Linked DNA regions of Cricetulus griseus. The protein of the gene in region 3 purifies or fractionates together with the protein of the main gene of each other region. This does not show direct contact. Links are inferred from orthologs where the notes say so. Each region holds a gene or a part of one and is shown on either strand. Other genes may lie near its edges.

The links. The genes of interacting proteins can lie anywhere in the genome.
Region 1: the proteins of Mbtd1 (region 3) and histone H2A.Z purify together in Homo sapiens (affinity purification with mass spectrometry; 3 studies listed by BioGRID and IntAct, with this or other methods). This does not show direct contact. The link is inferred for Cricetulus griseus from reciprocal best matches to the Homo sapiens genes MBTD1 and H2AZ1.
Region 2: the proteins of Mbtd1 (region 3) and Epc2 purify together in Homo sapiens (affinity purification with mass spectrometry; 3 studies listed by BioGRID and IntAct, with this or other methods). This does not show direct contact. The link is inferred for Cricetulus griseus from reciprocal best matches to the Homo sapiens genes MBTD1 and EPC2.

Annotation. Positions count from the first base shown.
Region 1 is NW_023276806.1:21,775,367-21,779,409, forward strand, and holds histone H2A.Z, read right to left. Parts: upstream 2,801-4,043; 5' UTR 2,647-2,800; coding exon 2,644-2,646; intron 2,169-2,643; coding exon 2,091-2,168; intron 1,781-2,090; coding exon 1,667-1,780; intron 1,304-1,666; coding exon 1,174-1,303; intron 914-1,173; coding exon 852-913; 3' UTR 474-851; downstream 1-473. UniProt on the Homo sapiens protein: Variant histone H2A which replaces conventional H2A in a subset of nucleosomes. Nucleosomes wrap and compact DNA into chromatin, limiting DNA accessibility to the cellular machineries which require DNA as a template.
Region 2 is NC_048599.1:124,849,023-124,853,283, reverse strand, and holds the start of Epc2 (enhancer of polycomb homolog 2), read left to right. Parts: upstream 1-1,461; 5' UTR 1,462-1,761; coding exon 1,762-1,914; intron 1,915-4,261. UniProt on the Homo sapiens protein: May play a role in transcription or DNA repair.
Region 3 is NC_048600.1:106,843,275-106,846,774, reverse strand, and holds part of Mbtd1 (MBT domain-containing protein 1), read right to left. Parts: intron 3,404-3,500; coding exon 3,256-3,403; intron 1,321-3,255; coding exon 1,238-1,320; intron 521-1,237; coding exon 286-520; intron 1-285. UniProt on the Homo sapiens protein: Chromatin reader component of the NuA4 histone acetyltransferase complex, a multiprotein complex involved in transcriptional activation of select genes principally by acetylation of nucleosomal histones H4 and H2A.

The DNA.
Region 1 (4,043 bases), on a different chromosome or scaffold from region 3:
GGTTGCATGCATACCACCTCCTGTTACCAATTTTTGCCTCAGAAAGGAGCACGCATGTTGTCTCGGTAGGGTGAAAGGGGCAGATGCGTTTTCTCAAGCTCTTAAGGAACATGCCTGATATGTATCAATGTTTTCATCATGTTACCCTAGTCTATGAAAATAGCACGCATCCCCTGTGACTAGCATTTCACAGTTGACAACAGTGTCTGGTCACTGAGAATGATTTAACTTCTACATCTTAAGTTCATTCTGTGGAGGTTATTATGTTATACCTGGGGGTCTCTACCGGTCCAGCTGTCCCAAATTGTGATACAGTGCCTTTCACAGTTACTGTGAATGTCCAACAGCATGCCTAGTTCATTATGACAAATTGGTTATGACTTGTTGGTCTACAGATGAAGTGTTTGATTAGTAAGCAAAGAAGGTAGGGGAGCTGAATGAGATCTAGTAGTAATCATCAAGCAAGTTTAAAACTAGTTTGGGATATGACCTTTATTGAGCTTATCCACCAGAGTGGAAATAATGTCTGTACAAAACCAAATGTTTGTTACTATAACTTCTGCATCACAATTAAAATCCAAACAGTTTTTTAAAAACAGTCAACTCAATCAAAACCCACTACTTCAGAATCAATAGCTTCTTTGAAGCCACAGTAACACTTAAATATGGTTAAGACTCGAATGCAGAAATTTGGTTGGCTGGAAGGCTAATTAAGCCTCCAACTTGCTCAAATAGAATTACAAAAAGGCAAAATTGTGTTTTTCACAGAGATACAGTCCACTGGAATCACCGACACTGGACAGCTGTTAAGAATATTTAGAGTCCTGAGATAATAAGGAATCCAGGCATCCTTAGACAGTCTTCTGTTGTCCTTTCTTTCCAATCAGAGATTTGTGGATGTGTGGGATGACACCTAGGAAAGTGACAAGGATTAATTCTACTTTTTGTAGAAACATTTTGAAACAGTACATGAAATCAAAGCAGGTAAATCTACAACTTGAAAGGTCTTAAAAAAAAATTCAAACATAAAGTAAAATGATGAATGATGTTGTGTAAACCAAATTCCATAAACCACCATGATTTATAAAATATATTTAAATGCCCTCTTCTGGAAGCAATGAAAATGTAGGAATTTTCTTATTGGAAAGTAACCGAGTGTCAGTGATAACATACCACCACCAGCAATTGTAGCCTTGATCAGAGAGTCCAATTCTTCATCCCCGCGAATAGCAAGTTGCAAGTGACGAGGGGTAATACGCTTTACCTTTAAGTCTTTTGATGCATTTCCTGCCAATTCTAGTACCTAAAAGGCAAAATTCTGATCAATTTTCCAATTCCCTTCAGTCAAGATCCAGGAAGCTGGCTAAACGTCAGTGGTGTTTAACCCACCAACTGTCGTCATCCCCCCACTACCTGAATGACAAAACTATGCAAATGATGCAAAGGACTGAAGGGGCACGCAATTGCTTTTGCAACAGCAGCAAACTCTGGCTCAGCGGGATCCTTGGCTGAACACTAGCTCCCTCTAGCGCCCTCTCTCTGCCTAAGCGCCGCGCTTAGGGCCTGGGAGTTTTCTTGCATCACTTTCCTCCTTCCCTCTCGCCCACTTTCCCCCCCCCGCCCCCCAAACCTTTTCCAGATCACAGGCATACTCACTCCCGCTTACCTCTGCGGTGAGGTACTCCAGGATGGCTGCGCTATACACAGCGGCGGTCGCGCCCACACGGCCGTGGCTGGTTGTCCTAGATTTCAGGTGTCGATGAATACGGCCCACAGGGAACTTGATTTTTTTTTATGCACACAAACAAAAATGCACAAAGATAGAGGAGATTCAGAGATGGAAAGATGATGCGCGCGCGCGCCAAAGCCAAGGACGGTGGTGCACCAAGGCGCCCGGGCAGTTAGCACACGCGATCGACGCCCCCCCCACCAGCCCCCGCCGCCCCAACATTCAGTCTCCGAAGGCCAAGTCGCGACACATCACCCACGCAAAAGATGGAACACCCATGCGAGGCGCCGACAAACAAGCCAGGGGGTGCAAAGATAAAGGCCGGGTCACCCGGGCTGCGTCTGCGGCAGCAGCTGCCTACCTGCAAGCCGGCTCTCTGCGAGCGGGAAACCGCCTTTGTCTTGGCCTTTCCGGAGTCCTTTCCAGCCTTACCGCCAGCCTGCGGCGCCGCCGACGCCCGCGAGCCCGGGAGGGACGGAGAGGATAGAATTACCAAGGCGGCGCGGAGCGGCGCGCCCCTCCCCCACGGCCGCGCGTCCCGGAGGCGGGCGAGCGAGCAGGCGGGCGGGCGGGCGGCGGGCGCGCGCTCGCGGCCCGCCGGGGTCTCCGGGCCGCCGCTCGCCCCCGCCCTCTCTCCCCGCCCGCCCGCCGACCCCCGCCGCGCGCCCCGCGCGCGCCCCGCGCCGGCTCCCAGCTGCGCCGCGCGCGCCCCCCTCCAACCGTCGCCTCCCTCCCGGAGCTCCGAGCTCAACCAAACACCTCCCTCCGCTCGTCCCCGACCCGTCTCCGCACGCTCCCGCCCGCCGCCGCCGCCTCGCCCAAGCCCCGGCGACGGCGGCCCCGCCCGCTCCAAGCCCGCAGCTCGCGGCCGCCGCCGCCCCCCGCCCGGCGGCCCGCCGTCACTCTCACGTTACCATCTCGGACCGTGCTGAAGATCGCACAAGCGAGCAAGAGACGAGGCCAGGCGGACGCACAGCGAGATCCCGGCGCCCACTCCTCCGTCGTACCGCGATTCAAACTGCGCCGTCTCCCGCCTTCCTCGCGCCCTTTATACCGCAGAATGTTCCCTCATCCGGGAACTCGGCTGGCTCGGCCCACCAATGGTCGCCGCCCGCCTTCGGGACGCGTCCTTGAGGCTCCGGCCAATGGGAGGGCGCGAAGCAGGGTGGTGGGGCGGGCGCTCGCGAGCTCGAGCCGTGATTGGCGCGCGAGGGGTGGGGAGGGGGAAGAGTGGGGGAGGCGGCGGGACGGGACCGGGAGGGGAAGGGCGCCGCGGCGGGAGGGCAGACACAGAGCCCTGCGCCACCGAGGAGGGAGCGCGGGCGAGCGCGAGAGCGGACGCGGGGTCACGTGCCTGGAGGGCGGGGCTGAGAGGCTGGGGACGGGCGCGCGGGCGTCCTCCCGCGGTGTGCGGGAGACCACGTGAGCTCGCCTCCCGGTCCAGCCTGGGCCTCGCAGCGTCCTCCGGTCGGCCTGGCCGTCCCCCCCCCCTCCCCGCAGACCTCGGTTCCCCGCGGGCCCCTCCTTTGTGACAGGTGGCGCGAAGGCCTCCAGTGAGAGGAGCTCGGCTCGGCCCGCACTTGCTGAAGCACTTCCCTGAGAGACCGTCTCTTACCCCCGCCGGAGGTTGTTTTTCATCTTCCTCCGCTCCGGTCCTCACCTCTTTTGACCGCCCCCCTCACCCTCCCATCCTGTCTCGTAACAACCGTGGGGGTCAAGTTACCTTGGTGATAACAAATAATTTTGTCTACACACAGGAAGCTCAGGATGAAGCGTTATTATAATGAAATCATCAGCCATAATTTTGCCGAGAGAGACTCCACATCAATGGGGATGCGCCTATAGCCTGGTGTCTAAAGTTGATTTATTGAATCATCAAAGCTATTATGTGTCAGCTTTCCGACACTAAACATTTTGCCACATGAAAAATGTTGGGTAAATGTCAGTGGGGTAACTGTAACATGATTCACAAGCAGCCACAGATGGTTCATGTAATCAATTACAAATGCCGGGCTTAAAAAAGAAAAAGTAGGACTGTACGTACACACGGTCCTGTCCTGATGCCAGTCACTTAGACGTGCAGTTAGCAGGTCGACAATCCCTGTGTACATCACTTAGCTGCTTGGAGACCATAATGATCTAAATCTTTCATATTTACAGTACTTAATGTTTAACTCTTTAAATAAGAAAAATTATTGTGTGGGTGGTTGCAGGTGCACATGCCATGAAGACTTTGTGGAAATCAGATGACAACCTGTGGAGTGGGCTCTCCCTCTCTCCACCTGTACATGGGTTGCAGGGATGGAACTCAAGC
Region 2 (4,261 bases), on a different chromosome or scaffold from region 3:
CAACCATACTACCTTCAAAGGGAAAGTTGGAGACAAAGGGGAAACAGAGAAGGGAAAAGGGTAGGGAGAAAAATAGAAAATAAGTGGGTGGCAATGAAGATAGTTGTGCTTTATCAAAAAATAGGAGAAATTAGTTTTTACAGTTAGATTTTAGCAAACCATCTACCCTTTTCTGAGCGAGGTAGGGATTTTGTCAATAATTACAAAATGGTAAAATTGTTGCACTTTGTGGGAATTTTCTGAGAAACCTGTAATGGTTAAAGACAAAGAAAACTAGGCAACAAAGAGGTTTGTGTCAACAGTAGCTGTATCTAATTGAGTCAATTTGATTCTTCCTTTGGCAGAGATACTGCTCTACTGCTTCTGGCCAAAACTATGTCGCCTTTCTCTGACAGGTCACAGCAACTGCCCGTAGATGTCATTTGGTGATTAACTTTGCATTACTCTCTCGTGTCATCTTGTATCGTTTTCTTCAAGTAGCCAAGCATTTGTCTATATGTTTTTGGACTATAATCTTTTCAGATGCTCTTTTCTTCAAGTATTTACGACTCTTACTGCTAATTATTCAACAGTTGTAAAGCCGTAACATGCAAGTTAATTGATTCAGGAACTTTATTAAACTCTTCGAGTTGCCACAGCAACCAGTATTTTTTTTTTTAACATACGTATTTGCTTGGGCAAAATATTTCAAATCGAACCTTTAAGAACTGGCTTTTTTTTTTTTTTTTAAGTCAAGAGAACTACCTACCATCCACTAAATAACTAGGGAAGTTTGGATGACAGGTGCAAGTCCGCTTGTTGCGCCCAGCAGTCTCAAACTAGGAGCCCTCACGGCTACCACAAGCATCCTGCCGGTGCAGGCGGTGCAGGCGGGAGTGCCTCACGTTGGGGCGCTCTTTCGGACCGGGGCTGCCCGATTTTTCAGGGCGCGAGACGCAGCAGGGCTGTGACTCTCGGCGTGGGCAGACGCCACGGACTTTGCGTACCTCCCCGGGATGCGCAAACCCGGGGCGCGAACCAGGCAACAGGCGCTCCGGAGATCAGAGCTTTCTAAGCGCAGGCTCGAGTGGCGACCGGTCGCCCGGGTGGCCGACCTCCTGCCCCCTGGGGCGGGCGGTCCTGAGCGCCGCGCCTCCCCGAGGGAGCCCTGCGCGCGGAACGACTCGGCGGCGGAGGCAGAGGCAGAGGCAGAGGCAGAGGAGGCGTCTGCTCTGGCGCCCGGGCGAGCGCACCTGGCACCTGCTGCCCCGCCGGCGTCCCGCCGAGCGCCCGGCACACAGGCACCCGGGCACCCGGACTTAGCTCGCTGTCGCCGGCTGGCTAGCCGCGCCGAGCCGCGCCGCGCCGCGCCGCGGAGCGGAGAGAGTGGGTGGGCAGGCAGGGGAGGGGAAGGGAGAGGAAGGAGGGAGGGAGGGAGGGAGAGGGCGACGCGCGTCCCCGCGGCGGGGGCGCGCTCTCGCGCGGGCTGCCGGGATCGCTCGCCGCCGCTGTGGTAATGTCCGCCATGTTGGCCATGGCGCAGGGAGCGGATCGGGCGGGCGAGCGGCGGATCTAGAGTGTGGAAGCGGCCGCGGGCGGCGGGGGGCTGTTTTTGGGCGGGGTGGGCGCCCATGCGGGGCCGGGGGCAGTGCGGAGGAGGAGGAGGGGCGGGCCGGCCGCGCTGCACTGAGGAAGGAGGTGGAGGAGGCGGCGGGAGTGCTCCCCCCCTCCCCGCCCGCCCCGCCGCCGCCGCCCGGGCTGTTCCTGTAAGGCGGGGAGACAATGAGTAAACTCTCCTTCCGAGCGCGGGCGCTGGACGCCGCCAAACCGCTGCCCATCTACCGCGGCAAGGACATGCCTGATCTCAACGACTGCGTCTCCATCAACCGGGCCGTGCCCCAGATGCCCACCGGGATGGAGAAGGAGGAGGAATCGGTAGGGACTCGAGTGTTTATTACCCCCCCTTCCCTCCTCCCCCCTCCCCTTTGTCAGCCGGGCCTCGCCATTCACAGAGCGCTCTACGCTCGCTGGAGGGCGCCGCTGCCGCTGCGCGCTCGGGACCCTACGCCGGCGGAGTAGCGTAAACCTGTCGGCCGGCGCAGCGCCCGCCCGCGGCCGCCATGTTGTTGCGTCCCAGTGTTGTGATTAGCTCTCGGCGCCGCTTACGCTGCCGTAAGGGGGCCTTGCCGTAAGCAGCGGCCGGGAATGGCGCAGGGATGCGCCGGGCCGCACTTGGCGTACGGCCTCTGTTTACCTTGTAATAGACGTTTCCCCGGCGCGGGCTTGATTAATTGAGCGGTGTTGCGGGGTGGGGGTGGAGGTCCTTTGGCTAGGCGATCTTTTCGTGACACTTTAAGATCCTTGCGTGCATTCGAGTGCCTTTGAGATGATGCAGGAAAAGTAAAACTCAACAAACACCTTCGTGCTAGCTGGGTGATGGTTTGAGTTAGCAGGGTGACGGTGTGCGCTGCCCGCCCGAGGAGGTGCGGCGGGACGAGGCGGTGCAGCCCTGCTCCGGGGCAGCGACTCCCGAGCGGGACCCCGCGTTAGCGAGCCCCCTGCACCGCGCGCGGATTTAGCCTGCCGGGCTGGCCCTGCTCGGTTGCACGGCGTTAGGAAGAAGCCCGAGTGCTAGGAACCAGGCCCGCGCTTCCCAGCGCACCGTCCCGGGGAGGTAGCATGCGAGATGGCCATTTCCAAGTTGAAAGACTCAGTGCGTCCACATTGACATTAGTATTTTTGACCGCATAGTAACATTTTGGCAAAAATGCTATTTCCCTCTCTCCAGGGGTTAAATTTTACCTAAGACTGAATTTCCCCCGACTTGACGGTGTTTACGACTCTGGAGTGTTGTTACTTGCATGCGAAGTTCATAGTAACTGCACCCTGAAGAATTTCTTCAATGAACCTTCAGTCCCGCCTTATTGTCAACCTCGGGTGTGTGTGGATTGGTTCCCGTGCTTCTGTGACTGTCAAAAGAAAGCTGGAGGTTTCTGCGATTGGTTTTCTCTTTTGACTATTAATAGTGCAGGAAATGCATTTAAGCCTTTGATTGGCTGCTTGAATTCTGACCTCATTGTGTTGGTGCTTTGACTTAATCACATTCTCTTTGGTGTTTGATTACCTGATTTAACATTTTCAGTAGAAGATAAAATCGGGCCTCTTTTTAAACCTTCAATTAAAAAAAAAAAAAGCCTAGCTTTTATGCCTAAGATTTAGTGCTTAGTCGTGTTTGAGAAATTGGCTTACATAGTCATTGACTCAATTTTGAACTACCTTCTGACAGTGTCTTGATAAGGTAATTTAGAAGTTGTCTGCTTTTGGTAGCATGGTGTTGTCTTTGCTGGACACATCTTTCTCTTAACCATTTCTTTTGGACGTGTGTTTTTACATTGCTTTCTTCTCTTCCTTATGTTTGTTGAGGTTTAACAGTTGTCATCCTGTGTTTCAGTCCCAGTAGTGTTCCTCATGGTGCTTGGTCTAAAACTCTGTAATTTATTTTTACTGTAAACCCCAAAAAAGAACTTATTAGTTATTTGGCTATTTCTTCATGAATATTGTATAGTAGTAGTTATTGTTTTTAATATTGCTGTTTGTGGAATATTTAGATCCCAGATACCGTGTCAAGAATTCTAGGTATATTTAATATAAAATTTTTTTAAAAATTTACTTTTCTGAGACATAAATTCAGGAAGATTTACCCGTTTACAATAAAGATTTAATGAGGTTTCACAAATGTATACAACCAAGAATAAGAAACATTTCCAACTTCAGAAAATGTTCTTGTCCTCTGTAGCTAATCCCTGGACTGTAATTCCAGGAGACCATCTACTTGCTTTCACTATAGATTGGCATTGCATTTGGAAGTTTTGTGTCAATGGAGGATAAGTATGTGTGTATGGCTTCTTTTGCTCAGCATGATACTATTAATTATTGTCTCTTGTTTTATACACCATGTATTCCTTTTACTGCTGAATAATATTATAGTTAACATATACTCCATATGTACTTGTTACTAGACATTTGAGTTTTCCCTAGTTTATGATTATCTCTTAATCTTAGTGATGACAGCCTTGTGAGTCACTACAGTTTTCTGTTTTATAGATAACCTAAAAGGTCTCACTGATGGTAATGGTCAGGAATTCAAACCCTTGCTCTTGATGTTGAAAAGTTTACTGCTATAATCCCCATTCTTTCATATTTAGGATTGTTATAGAACCCAGAATTATCATGGTATTATATTTATTAGGATTTTTGTAAATAATTTATTTTTATAATTCTG
Region 3 (3,500 bases):
CTATTTACTCAACAACACTTATGAATGATATATTTTTATACTGCAATGTTCAATTTGATAATGGTGTAGTTTACTTGGTGATTTCTGGTTTTCTCTATTATAACTGACCATGGCATACCTCGTTTAATTCTGTGATATTGTTGAGTCTTAGTATCTTACCTGTCAGCTCATCAAACATTGATATATTCTTGTCCTGTGAGCTTACAAGTTGATTTACATGAGACAGCCCTCTGAAGAATTAGCTGGTTTTTATAAAAGTACATGTTTTCTGTATTAGCAACTTACACTGTGATGCTGGAGGCTGTAGTTGATATCCAGTTAATTGACACCACCCTACAGGATAGAGGTCAGGGGACTCACAGTCTACCCATTGATCATACTCTTCTTCCCATCCATCAAAATGTATCCTCAAGAGACGATGAATAATTCGAGTAACTGTGGCTACACATATTAAACGTGGCTCCATGAGATCTACAGCTTCTAATTTCATTCCTACACGAAACCCGTGATTTGGAACATCCTGACACAGAGAAACAAATTATTAACACTGATGCTCAGGAGAGTAGAGTCGGCTATCACCAGAACAGCAAATGATACATCTAAAATCTTTTCCCAAAAAACCTTCACAGCAATTCTTTTGCTAAGTCACCATATTGCAATAGGGAGGTATTTAAGAACTAGTCAGGAAAAGTATTCACTTTCATTCCACTCTGGTTAAAGATCAAATAGTTTAGGGTTGACAAAAATGGTTCAGTGTGCAAAAGTACAAGCCTGGAGACTTGAATTTGACCCCAGAATCCATGTAAAGGTGAAAGAGAGACTTGACTCCAAAAATTTGTCCTTTGAGCTCTATGCATGAGTCTTGGCACAAAGAACCTCCCTTATACTAATAAAAAAATTTATAAACATTCTTCTTTCCCTAAAGAAAATACATATATTGTTTTTGCTAATCTTCATTAAGAAATTCTAACATATGGCAAAAAATTTTGGCTCAAGAGAAACTTCCCCTCTTGTTTTTTTTTTTTTTTTTTTTTTTTTTTTTTTTTTCGAGAGAGGGTTTCTCTGTATAACTTGGGAGGCTGCCCTGGAATTAGCTCTTGCAGACCAGGCTGGTCTTGAACTCACAAAGATCCGCCTGCCTCTGCCTCCCGAGTGCTGGGATTAAAGGCGCGTGCCACCACTGCCTGGCGACTAACTTCCATTCTTATGTTATGATCATGCCACCATTCAAATTTACCTTATTAAATAGTTTTACTGGTGCTGCAATGGAGCCGGTTTCCCTGAGGTAGTCAAACCATTTAAAAGGAAGTTTTGTGTAACCTAAAAAATACAACTGGTTTAGTTAACAGTTCATTTAAAATTAGCACAATCTTAAATAACTCAGCACATGAAATCTTAGATTTTAGGTGATGTAATTTCTTTCTACTGTTTTTTTCTTTTTCTTTTTGATGACAGGGTTTTTCTGTGAAGCTTTGGAGCCTGTCCTAGTACTTAACTCTGTAGACCAGGCTGGCCTGGAACTCACAGAGATCCACCTGCCTCTACCTCCTTAGTGCTGGGGTTAAAGGCGTGTGACACAACACGCCTATTCTGTTTTTAAAAAAATTGTATTTTTATTTTTGAGATTGGGGTCCAAAATAGCTCAGGCTAGCTTCAAACATGCTATGTAGTAATAGAAGGTAACCTCATTCTCCTTTCTTCTCCATATCCAAGTTTGGGATTGAAGGAATACACACTTTACTTGGTGGTAAGAACTTCTAACTCATGTTCTAACATTACTGAGCATACTGGCTCCATATTATGAAGACGTCCTCCTTTGCAGACACAGGTTTGCCTCCTTAGCCTAGTGCAGAAGTGACTTGTTTACTACAAGGATAGACTTATGCTTTTTTCTTTCCCTTGGTGGCATTGTATATCTAATCCAGGGCCTCAGCATCCTGGGCAAGGTGCTCCTACCACCAAGAGCTACAACTCCTCCCTGCAATACTAGGCTTTAAAACTAACAGTCTAGCACTTCATACTCTGGATTATTTTTCTTTTTGTGAAGGAAATTAAACTGGCTGAGCAAATACTTTTGACAAATCCTTCCTTTTCTTTAATACCACTTTGAGAAAAACCCAAGCCAAAGGTACTCAAATTAGAAAATTCACTGGTGAGCCGGGCAGTAGTGGGGCACGCCTTTAATCCCAGCACTTGGGAGGCAGAGACAGGAGGATCTCTGTGAATTCCAGGCCAGCCTGGTCTACAAATACAAAGTGACTTCTAGGACAAGTTCCAAAGTTACAGAGAAACCCTGTTTCGAAAAACCAAAAACCAAACAAAAAACCAAAATAAAAGTCACTGGTGAAACCATGAGTTGCTAAAGACATACTTTTTTTTTTTTTTTGAGACAGGGGTTCTCTGTGTAGCTTTGGAGCCTATCCTGTCACTTGTTCTGGAGACCAGGCAAGACATACTTTCTTTTAAAAGGTATAAAGCTAGGTTTGCTCATACATGCCTTTAATCTCAGAACTCTGGAGGCAGAGGCAGGAGAATGCCCATTGTCTATATAGTGAGTTCCAGATCAGCTAAGAATACATCTCAACAAAACAAAAATAGAAGCTACATGGCATTCGAGAGAGGAGCTTCATTTCCATGAAGGCCAAGTATCCATTTAAAAAGTGCTCACGTAGGAGCAAAGAAATGGCTGAGTAGGTAAGACCAGTGGCTGCTCTTCCAGAAGACTAGGCTCAGTTCCCAGCACCTATAGCTCCTAACTGTCTGCAACTTTATTTCCAAGGGATCTGATGCCCTATTCTTGCCTCCGAAGGTACACAGCACACAAGTGGTACACAGACATACATACAGGCAAAACATCCATACATAAAAAATAATAAAAGATTCAGGAAAAACTTCCACTGTAATCCATTAAAATGATCTAGAATACAATGTTTGTGTTTTTACTTTAATTAATGTATTAACCACGAGTCAGGGTTTTTGTTGTGTAGCCTTAGCTGCCCTGGACTCACTATTAGAGCAGAAGGCAGGTCTCCAACTTGTGGGTGATCCTCCTGTCTTTGCTCCCAAGTGCTGGGATTTCAAGCATGTACCACCATGCCCAATTTAAGAGCATCTCATAGCTCTTGCATGTTTCAGTCTATCTATACATACCCACACATACTGTGTATAAATATACACACTGTGCTAAAAGTAAGCAGATATCATACAAAAACAAAGCAAGACTAAGAACTGAGTGTTTATACCGGGATGGAATACCTCTGGGTGGAGTCAGTTCTATCATGTTAATTTCACAGAAACCCACAGGGAAAATAGAAGGAGAGGTTGCATGATAACAGAACCAGTCAGATCCATCTGCTGCTTCTGAGCCATCGATCCCAATCATCAGGAACCCATCAGCCAGCACCTTTGAAATCAAGAGAATCCCAAGTATGTGAACATGAATACCAATATTACAAAAAACAATATTTTAAATTATATTCTGAACGAAAGTATTACATAAA